3 linked regions of the Saccharomyces cerevisiae S288C genome follow. The protein of the gene in region 2 interacts with the protein of the main gene of each other region in a biochemical or structural test. Each region holds a gene or a part of one and is shown on either strand. Other genes may lie near its edges.

Region 1 (3,068 bases), on a different chromosome or scaffold from region 2:
AGACATGGTCAAGGGCATTTGTTGGTCATCACGTGAGCGGGGATCTTAAGTGGCTGGAGACTATTGGTGTCAAATTCCCTGGCAGAGGGTATGAAGGCCATCTGGACCATACGCTGCTTTTGGCTGAAACTCCCGGTGATCTAGACGTGTTCATCTTGGACACTGAGCAGTTTTACAGGAAATCGTATGGCGAAAAGGGCAGCAGTCTGGGCAAGATTCTGCGGTTGTTCGAGATACCGCATGCGTTTCTACACAATGCCGGTAACGATGCCTACTATACCCTGCATTTGTTCATGAAGTTTTGCGATGTTAATTTCAGGAAAATAAGCGGCATGGACGATGTTCTTAAAGTAATGGGCCAAGTAAAAGTTTGGGGAGAACGAGACGTACGAGAGCCTAAAGTGGTGCCCATGTCGTATGCCATCTCCATCGAGGAGGCAGTCAAAAATCGGACGTACCGCAAGGGCGTCAAGAGCAGTAGGAAGGAAAGAGTCTGCCAAACGGAATTCGGTGGGTTAACGTATTTCGGAACTGCTAAAGACGCCTTCACAAGCACTCTTCCGACACACTAAATATATTCATCGATTTTTTTCCTGTAAATACAAACACATGCTTGTATACATATACATATACATATATATAAGCTCATTATAAACCTGTGTGCATGGAAAAAACTTTGTCTGCCCTTAATTTGCAAGAATAGGTTCTAACAATTCCTCCAATTCACCAGTCTCCCTCAATTCCTGCAAGTCGTCGTTGCCTCCAATATGTTTACCATTAATATAGATGTTTGGCACGGTTCTTTGGCCATTAATCTCATATAACGCAGCCTGAATGTCTGCGCCTTCCTTCATGTCATTCAATTGCAAAACCAGAACTTTGGACCTGGGAACCTTTAACTTTTCAAAAAGCGTGTTTAGGGCTGCATGGCAGTATGGACAGTACGTTTTGGATGCGACGAAGATCTCGTTTTCTGCAATAAGGTCCTTGACGTGCTTGATAGTTTCTTGAGATACCATTTTTTTTCCTTCTGAGGTTTTGTCTATTTGTATAATTATGCGAATGCTCGTATAAGTACTGCACGAAGTTCTTTATTTTATGCTAAAGTCCCTTTTTATATTATATAAACTTTTCATTTATTTTATATATTTACTCCTTTCAAGACAAAATTCCCACATCACGTGAATCAGGAGGCGCAAGGGGGGTAGTAAGGCAGTAGTAGATAAAGAAAACAAGCATCGCAATCTGGAAACGCCGTTGCGGCTGCTCGTTATCTGTAGACAGCTCACTTGTGCATGAAGTTCATGTTTTATAGATGATGGAGCCATACTTCAAGGTGATAACTATGAAACTGTTTTGACCTTGACGTGTAAAGTGATCAAGGTAATAGTTAAACTTTATATATGTTGTTTATCAATGTGGTATCCTTTCTAAGGATGAAGACAACACGATTGTGACAGTGTGAGAGAGTGATAAAGCATTGGAGGCAGGCAAAACAAGAACATGGGGTTTCTTTCGGATCATCCGCATACAGCTATCACCGAGACGATCTTTCGAATTGTCTCTTCAAGGGACTATACGCTAGAAGTGGAGTTAGCTCCCTTGATTCAGCTTATCAAAGCAGATCACAACGATTATAACTATACCGTGAACCAAGAAGAAGCTGCGCGAGCACTTAGAAAGAAAATAAAGTATGGGAACCGGCTGCAGCAGTCCAGGACTCTGGACCTCTTGGATCTGTTCATCTCACAAGGCGTGAAGTTTACAGTCATGTACAATGATGACAAGCTGCTGCAAAGGCTGAGAGGGATGGCTACGAACTCTGAAAACAGCGGGTCCGGTGAAAAGTATGAGCCTAGGATTATTAAGAAGTGCGCGGCGTATGCTATCTCGTGGCTAAACTATATTACGCAGAACAACCTTGAGAATGCGAGGGCGTATTCAGGTCTTTATCAATTGGGTCAAACAGTCAAACAGAGGTACTCGAAGAGCAGCCGTTCCCGCCGTAGCGGCGGAGGCTCTGGCGGACGGTCTAACTTCATGGATGATAGCGCCGACGACACTTTGTACCAGTCCAACTCGCTGACTAGTGCCGATAGATTGTATAGGATTCCACAGATCAACATGAACAAAGAGGCACCCAGGATTCGGCTCATAATCAGCGATGCTCTCGCGTCTGCTGTGTCGTTACAGAACTCGCTGATCGGGCTGCCCAAGGGCAAGTTCTCCACAGACGATGAAGAGGCCACGTCCAAGTTCATCCAGGCAAGGGCGATCAGAAGGAAAGTTCTTAGATATCTGCAATTGGTCACGGAGGGTGAGTTTCTGGGTAGCTTAATTCATGCCAATGATGAACTGGTGGCTGCGTTGACTGCATACGACGACCGAAGCGCTCAGGACGATAGCAGCGATGAAAGTGATCACGGCTCGTACGATGACGGTATTTATGATGAAAACGAGCAGGATAACAGCAGGTATATTGATAGCGAGTCCTCAGAGGAAGAGAGCTTGTCTTCTTATCAGCCGTCCACGATCTCAAACCCTTTCGGTGATCATAACAAAATTTGAAGAAGTATGTACGTATGCATACACACATATATATATATATATATATAGTACATTTAATCCTTCTTGAGGTTTAAAGACGCACTGTTCACACAGTGTCTGGTGTCCTTGGGCAAGTTTAGCAACTGTTTCCAGCCTTCACCTTCAAACACATGTCCCAAGTGTCCACCACACCTTGCACAACATATCTCCACCCTCGCAGGCATTAAAGAATTGTCACGATGATATGTGATGGCTCCAGGGGATACCTCTTCGTAGAATGCGGGCCATCCACAACGAGCGTCGAACTTGGCCTTGCTCGAATACAACGGTCTGTCGCAGTTGGCACAATGGTAGACACCGGACTCGTTGGTGTGTAAATACGCACCGGTGTTGGGCCTTTCAGTGGCCTTATCTCTCAGCACCATCAGCTGCAATGGTGTCAGGGCATCGTTCCACTTCACGTCATTCGATTCGTCACTCATTTTCTTGCTCTTATTCCAGTACTGCGTCAGTACAATGTT
Region 2 (2,874 bases):
TGGTGGTGCTTGTCTATTTCAAGAAAAATTGGTTAGTACTAGTGCTAAAACCTTCATTGTCGTTGCTGATTCAAGAAAAAAGTCACCAAAACATTTAGGTAAGAACTGGAGGCAAGGTGTTCCCATTGAAATTGTACCTTCCTCATACGTGAGGGTCAAGAATGATCTATTAGAACAATTGCATGCTGAAAAAGTTGACATCAGACAAGGAGGTTCTGCTAAAGCAGGTCCTGTTGTAACTGACAATAATAACTTCATTATCGATGCGGATTTCGGTGAAATTTCCGATCCAAGAAAATTGCATAGAGAAATCAAACTGTTAGTGGGCGTGGTGGAAACAGGTTTATTCATCGACAACGCTTCAAAAGCCTACTTCGGTAATTCTGACGGTAGTGTTGAAGTTACCGAAAAGTGAGCAGATCAAAGGCAAAGACAGAAACCGTAGTAAAGGTTGACTTTTCACAACAGTGTCTCCATTTTTTATATTGTATTATTAAAGCTATTTAGTTATTTGGATACTGTTTTTTTTCCAGAAGTTTTCTTTTTAGTAAAGTACAATCCAGTAAAAATGAAGGATGAACAATCGGTGTATGCAGATTCAACACCAATAAATGCAATGTTTATTTCTTTGGAACGTTTGTGTTGTTCGAAATCCAGGATAATCCTTCAACAAGACCCTGTCCGGATAAGGCGTTACTACCGATGACACACCAAGGTTGGTTTTTCAAATTTTTCTCCAGTTCTAAAAAATCGGAAACCTCTTGAGGTTTCATTGCATCTTTCAAATCTTGTTTGTTTGCCCATACCAGCAGTACTACATTCTCCATCTCTTTCTCACCTATGATACTATATAACTCTTCTTTGGCCTCTTCCATACGGTTTCTAGCACTAGAATCTATCACAAAGATAAGTGCGGTGGTGGCTGGAAAATAATGTCTCCAGAGAGGTCTCAATCTTTGTTGTCCTCCTACATCCCACATGTTGAATTTTACGTTTTTATAAGTAACGGTTTCCACGTTAAAACCGACAGTGGGAGTAGACGTCTTTATTTTATTTAATTTTAGTTTGTACAATATTGTTGTCTTACCAGCCTTATCCAGGCCTAGCATCAAAATTTTCATTTCTTTCGAGCCAAATAGTTTTCCCAGAACCTTCGAAATTGAATTGCCCATCTCTACAATTAGCTTGTCTTTTCCTTTTTTCCGTTCTAAATCCCAATTATCTTCCCAATGTCAAAGCAACTGTAATGTCTCAGTCTAATTCAGCGTACGTTGCGTCTTACTATGCTTCTGCAAATAGGGTTTTAATGCTGCGTACATCTTCATTATCTTATAAGTGCCATCATTCGGACGGGTAATGGATGAAATCGTCAAAACCCGATTACTTTCTAGTATGTTTTATTTCTGTTTATAATGTAGTCAAAAGAGCTTCAACAGATTTAACATTTGCTTCCGTAAACTTGGTGTTAGGGTGATTCAGTTCTGTGTAAAAGCGTGTGGCATTGAGTTACTCCAATGGATTTTTCTATTCCTCCTACCTTACCTCTAGATCTGCAAAGTCGGTTAAATGAGTTAATTCAAGACTATAAGGATGAAAATCTAACAAGAAAGGGTTATGAGACCAAAAGAAAACAATTGCTAGACAAATTTGAAATCTCCCAAATGAGGCCTTATACCCCGCTTCGATCTCCCAATTCGAGAAAGTCGAAACATTTGCACAGAAGAAATACAAGTCTTGCATCATCCATTACGTCGTTACCTAATTCAATTGACAGACGTCATTCTATCTATCGTGTCACAACTATAAACTCGACTTCTGCGAACAATACTCCCAGAAGGCGGAGCAAGAGATATACAGCTTCTTTGCAATCGTCATTGCCAGGTTCCAGTGATGAAAACGGTTCAGTGAAGGATGCCGTTTATAATCCTATGATACCATTACTACCAAGACACACTGGAGCCGAAAATACTAGCAGTGGAGACTCAGCAATGACGGATTCTTTACCGCTAATTTTACGGGGACGCTTTGAACATTATGATGGTCAAACAGCGATGATCAGCATAAATTCTAAAGGCAAAGAAACGTTCATCACATGGGATAAACTTTATTTGAAAGCGGAGAGGGTAGCACATGAATTGAATAAGAGTCACCTTTACAAAATGGATAAGATTTTACTATGGTACAATAAAAATGATGTCATCGAATTTACTATTGCATTATTAGGCTGTTTCATATCCGGCATGGCAGCTGTACCAGTCTCATTCGAAACGTATTCTCTGCGTGAGATCCTTGAGATAATTAAAGTAACAAATTCGAAATTTGTTCTGATTTCTAACGCATGTCATAGACAATTAGATAACTTGTATTCGTCATCAAATCATTCAAAAGTTAAACTGGTTAAGAACGATGTTTTCCAGCAAATCAAATTTGTCAAGACTGATGACTTAGGGACGTACACAAAGGCAAAAAAAACTTCGCCTACCTTTGATATACCGAATATTTCATATATAGAGTTTACTAGAACACCGCTAGGTCGTCTTTCTGGCGTCGTCATGAAGCATAACATCTTAATAAACCAATTTGAAACGATGACAAAAATTCTAAACTCACGATCAATGCCTCACTGGAAACAAAAATCACAAAGCATCAGGAAGCCATTTCACAAAAAAATTATGGCAACCAACTCAAGGTTTGTTATCTTGAATAGTCTGGACCCTACTAGATCTACTGGTTTGATAATGGGTGTGCTTTTCAATCTTTTTACTGGTAATCTTATGATATCTATCGATAGTAGTATATTACAACGACCTGGGGGCTATGAAAATATCATTGATAAATTTAGAGCCGACATTTTACTGAATGATCAGCTACAAT
Region 3 (4,381 bases), on a different chromosome or scaffold from region 2:
GCCAACAAAGTTGCTGAAGGAACATGCCCTAAACTTGCTGCTTGAATATATAGTTCCATTGCATACTTTTCATCCGGAATGACAACATCTAAGAACCCTTCATGATAAATCTTAGCCAATTCGTATGGTGCTGCGGCCGTCAACTCATTAGCTCTTGCTGCAGCCCTTGATAACCATTTTACCCCATTTAATTTAGTATTAACGTCGGTTGGAAGACCCATTCTGCCGTAGAATGAATAAAGTCCCAATTTATACATTGCTGAGGGATGATTCCTGCTAGCCGCAAACTTTAAAAAATTGACTGACTTACGAGAATCTCTTGTTGTTCCTAGTCCTTCTTCTAAGCAATGCGATGCTCTGTAAGCACTTTCTATATGACCATGCTTTGCAGCTGCTTGAAATAAGACAAATGCTTCTTTATTTTCAATCTTCCCAAATGCTCCGGATGAGTAGCCGTCCGCTAATAAGTATTGGGCATCTGAATAACCCTTTATGCTCAGTTTCTTCAAATAACTTTGCGCTTCTTTCAAAAACTGAAGTTTTAAGTCAGATTGGCTGACATTTCCTTCCTTGTCACTATCTTGAACAAGAGCATTGGAAGATTCAATAGTCAGTGCGGTTTGTAACATATATTGCGCATACTGGAATAACACTTCAGGATCTTTAGATTTTTTAACGTTTTGTCTATACATTTCTATTGTTTTTAGCCTTGGAACTAAGGAAGTATTATTTTTACCACCCAAATATCGACTGATCATCTGATGTGACAAATCTGCTACAGATTCATTAGTAGCCGTTAATTGGGTATCACTGCTACCATTCAACAGGTACATGTGAGACAAATCTACAGAACGAGTTCTTTTCTTTATTTGCTCCTTCGTAAGAGATGTACTCGAATTTGTCTGTCTTAATGCTCCCGGTGACGGAGAATTTGTAGGAGTACTTCCCAAAGAACTTAAGGAAGTATTATTTGAATTATTAAGATGAAGCTGTGGGGGTGGGACTGGAACGAAATCTTCCTCTTGACTATTGCCTATATCGTTTGATAGTAGAGGTACTGACGCAGCTCTAAGATGCTCATTGATAAGCGGTTGGTTTGCCGACCGCTTAGGAAGGTCTGCGGTACTGAAGTCTTCATTGTCCCTGTTTTCCCTATTCTCTTTATTATCTGAAAAATCTTGACCTACCTTCAACGAACTGTTTTGAAACTGTAGGCCCCTGTTATCAAAATTTATATGCTGTGATTGCATTAAATGCTTCTTATATGGATGTACCTGCGGTGAACTTGCCATTTTTTATCCTTTTATTTTAACTTTATCACCAAAAAAGACGAGAACCTGGTAGTATACAATGGAAGGCTTATTAACAGCAAGTCTAAAGTCAAGTGCCAACACCTAGTTTGTCTCTACTCTTAAATCTTACATCATCCTCGAGAGGGTCTGCAGAAAGAATTTTTCGTTCTTTTTTTAGCAAGTCAAAACGCGAAGTGAAACGTGGGAAAATATAACGATGACCTTTCTTAAAACATGCATGAAGACTCGTGAAAGTCATATGTACATATGTCGTATAGATTTGCAGATAGTTGCAACAAATAATTAGCGATTAGTTATGGCCTATACATGGCAGCTAAGTGCGATGGCATGTTCAAATGTATTATATTAAATCAAATGAACTTAAAATGCGATGTTTGGGTGCAAAATATCTATAGATGATAGAGACGGTTCATTGATCTTACGGATCAACTTTGAGATCAGTAAGGCTGACTAGATGGTACAATTTTGTGCAGTCAATGGACTATTAAGGGATCGCAAAGAGGTATGTGCGCCAGTTTAAACGAGGTAAAAAAGAATGACACCTATGGGGTCTCACAAAAGGGCTACAATGACAATTTCAGTGAAAGTGAGGGCGTCCTTCATGGTAGTAAGTCGATGCCCACTAGCATGAAAAATATGCTACAGTCTCCCACGATGGTCAACATGTGTGATATTTTACAAAACAAGGAAGCTGCTAATGACGAAAAACCTGTGATACCTACTACGGATACCGCCACTGCGGGGACTGGTACTGAAGATATTAGCTCCACTCAATCCGAGGAAACTGATCAGAATAGTCATCTTATTGCCTCAGAGATCTTGGAAGGCACTTTCAAAGATGTATCTTACAAGGAATATGCAAATTTCTTGGGAAACGATAACAATAATCAAGTCTTGACTGAGTTTGTAAAGTTATTGAGTCCTTTGCCGTCGTCACTATTAGAAACGCTTTTCAATTTATCGAAAAGTATATATTTCATTGCAGAAGCGCAAAATATCGACCGGATACTAGAGTGCTTGAGCATAGAATGGATAGCTTGCCACCCGAACACACATTGGAAGTCAGGCTATAAGTCATGTCATATAGTCTTATTTTCCCTGTTGATCCTTAATTCGGATTTGCACAACAACTTTCAAGTTGACCATAAAAAGATTAAGTTTTCCATGGTTGCATTTATCAACAATACACTGAGGGCACTAAGAGAGGAAAATGAATACGAAGAATTGAAAATATACTCCCGCGAACATTTGATCATCGAAGAACTTTCCGAATACTATAAAACGTTAAATGAAACGCCTTTACCGTTATGCACAGAATCTAGAACATCAATAAATATATCAGATAACCAATCTTCCTTGAAAAGGTTCTCTACTCTAGGATCACGGGAATTTAGTACATCAAATTTACGTAGTGTTAACTCTAATTCTACTACACTATATTCAAGAGATGGTCAAGTATCTGTACGAGAAATGAGCGCAAAATCAAATAAAAACTTTCACAATAATCACCCCATGGATGCACTCTACCTTAAAGAGTCTTTTGATGACGGTTTAATTACCGAAAACGGCTCCAGTTGGTTCATGGACGATTTAATTCTTATAAGCAAGAAATCTTTACCACGTAAATATTCTAAAAGAGACAAAGATCAAGTGGCGGCACCAAAAATGACCTCTAAGAGAAACAAATCGTTCTTCGGATGGCTAAAACCATCTAAAACGACTACACTTATTGAGCACACATCTAGAAGGACTTCTTTATCGTATTTGAATAAGGATTCTGAATGGGAGAGGGTGAAAATACAGGTCAAGGAGGGCAGAATTTTTATTTTCAAAATTAAACCAGATGTTAAGGATATCATCCAATCAAGTGAAACAGACAGTGCTACCATCGACTATTTCAAAGATATCAGTAGCTCTTATTTTGCTTACTCACTGCTTGAAGCTGAAGCACATGTCGTGCAAGATAATATAATTATAGGTAGTGGAGCAATGAAATCAAATGTGTGTAACAAAAACACCAAGAGGAAAAGTGGCAACTTTACCGTTAGTTTTCCAGAGAATATCAACGGACCAAAGCTTGTTCTGGAGTTCCAGACGAGAAGTGTTGAAGAAGCCCACAAGTTTATGGACTGTATCAACTTCTGGGCAGGTAGGATTTCTCCAGTTCCTTTAACACAATTCGAAGCCGTATCTAACGCAGAATATGGATGGAGTGACAAGATCTTGACAGAGCACGCTTCCCTCAATCTTAAAAATATTGTTGTAAGTGAATGGAAGCCACTATTGGGGCTAGAGCTACTATACGAAGATGCGAAAGATGTAGAGATGGTCGAACTAAAAGAAAGGCTAAAGGAATTGATGAACTTCACCAGACAGCTTGGTATATGGATAGATAAACATAACGAAATAAAGGATAAGCTGGTCGAAATTTGGAGCTTTGACGATAACTATTTTGAAGCAGTCATGAATAATTGGAATTCGAGATATTTGTATATGAATAATCAATATAAGAAACGACTGAGCTACTTGAAAGCTTTGCAAAAAGCCATGGGTTCTGTTCAGTTCTAAGTATATTTAAAGATATAAATATAAAGACTGCGCTGAAGAAATATAAACTTGAAAACTGTACTCTGCCTTTTATTTACAAGGGATATTGAGATGATTTGTGTGAATGAAGTAGCGACAGAAAAAAAGCTTTTATTTCGAGTTCGCATCATTGTCACTTTCCTGCTTTTTCTTGGCGTACTGTCTATCTAAGATAGTCTTTAATATAGCGTCCTCGCCATATTCTTCTTCCTCAATTTTCTTCCATCTCTTTTCTACATCAGCTCTCTTTATTCTACTTTCAATGACAGCACGTTTCTTGTTATTCAAACTTGCCTCCTTGAGACACTTGTTCAAAGCATCCTTTTCGTTGTTACAAAGGCCAAATATTCTCTTGTAATATTCCTTTTGATGGCATTTATCGAGTGCATTGATGAAGTCCAAACAGGCTAAAATGAAGAAGGGGAGAATACAATGTTAGTAAGTCGGAGCACAGAAAAAGGCAAATATATGAAGTAAAATCT

Evidence for each region. Proteins that work in one complex are often made in the same cells at the same time.
Region 1: the proteins of ARF3 (region 2) and LSB5 form a complex in vitro, tested with the Saccharomyces cerevisiae proteins (one study listed by BioGRID).
Region 3: of the proteins of ARF3 (region 2) and YEL1, one has a biochemical effect on the other in vitro, tested with the Saccharomyces cerevisiae proteins (one study listed by BioGRID).

The regions. Positions count from the first base shown.
Region 1 is NC_001135.5:60,155-63,222, forward strand, and holds LSB5 (Lsb5p), read left to right. Parts: upstream 1-1,503; coding exon 1,504-2,568; downstream 2,569-3,068. Other genes in the region: GFD2 (Gfd2p), read left to right, coding at 1-572; dithiol glutaredoxin GRX1, read right to left, coding at 687-1,019; MXR2 (peptide-methionine (R)-S-oxide reductase), read right to left, coding at 2,622-3,068. UniProt on the Saccharomyces cerevisiae protein: Essential for the organization of the actin cytoskeleton, fluid phase endocytosis and vesicle trafficking, together with YSC84.
Region 2 is NC_001147.6:501,093-503,966, reverse strand, and holds ARF3 (Arf family GTPase ARF3), read right to left. Parts: upstream 1,173-2,874; coding exon 621-1,172; downstream 1-620. Other genes in the region: ribose-5-phosphate isomerase RKI1, read left to right, coding at 1-415; CMR2 (Cmr2p), read left to right, coding at 1,515-2,874. UniProt on the Saccharomyces cerevisiae protein: GTP-binding protein involved in protein trafficking; may modulate vesicle budding and uncoating within the Golgi apparatus.
Region 3 is NC_001134.8:106,115-110,495, forward strand, and holds YEL1 (Arf family guanine nucleotide exchange factor YEL1), read left to right. Parts: upstream 1-1,817; coding exon 1,818-3,881; downstream 3,882-4,381. Other genes in the region: SKT5 (Skt5p), read right to left, coding at 1-1,292; CMC2 (Cmc2p), read right to left, coding at 4,011-4,306. UniProt on the Saccharomyces cerevisiae protein: Guanine-nucleotide exchange factor for ARF3 required for localization of ARF3 to the bud neck and tip and involved in actin patch polarization.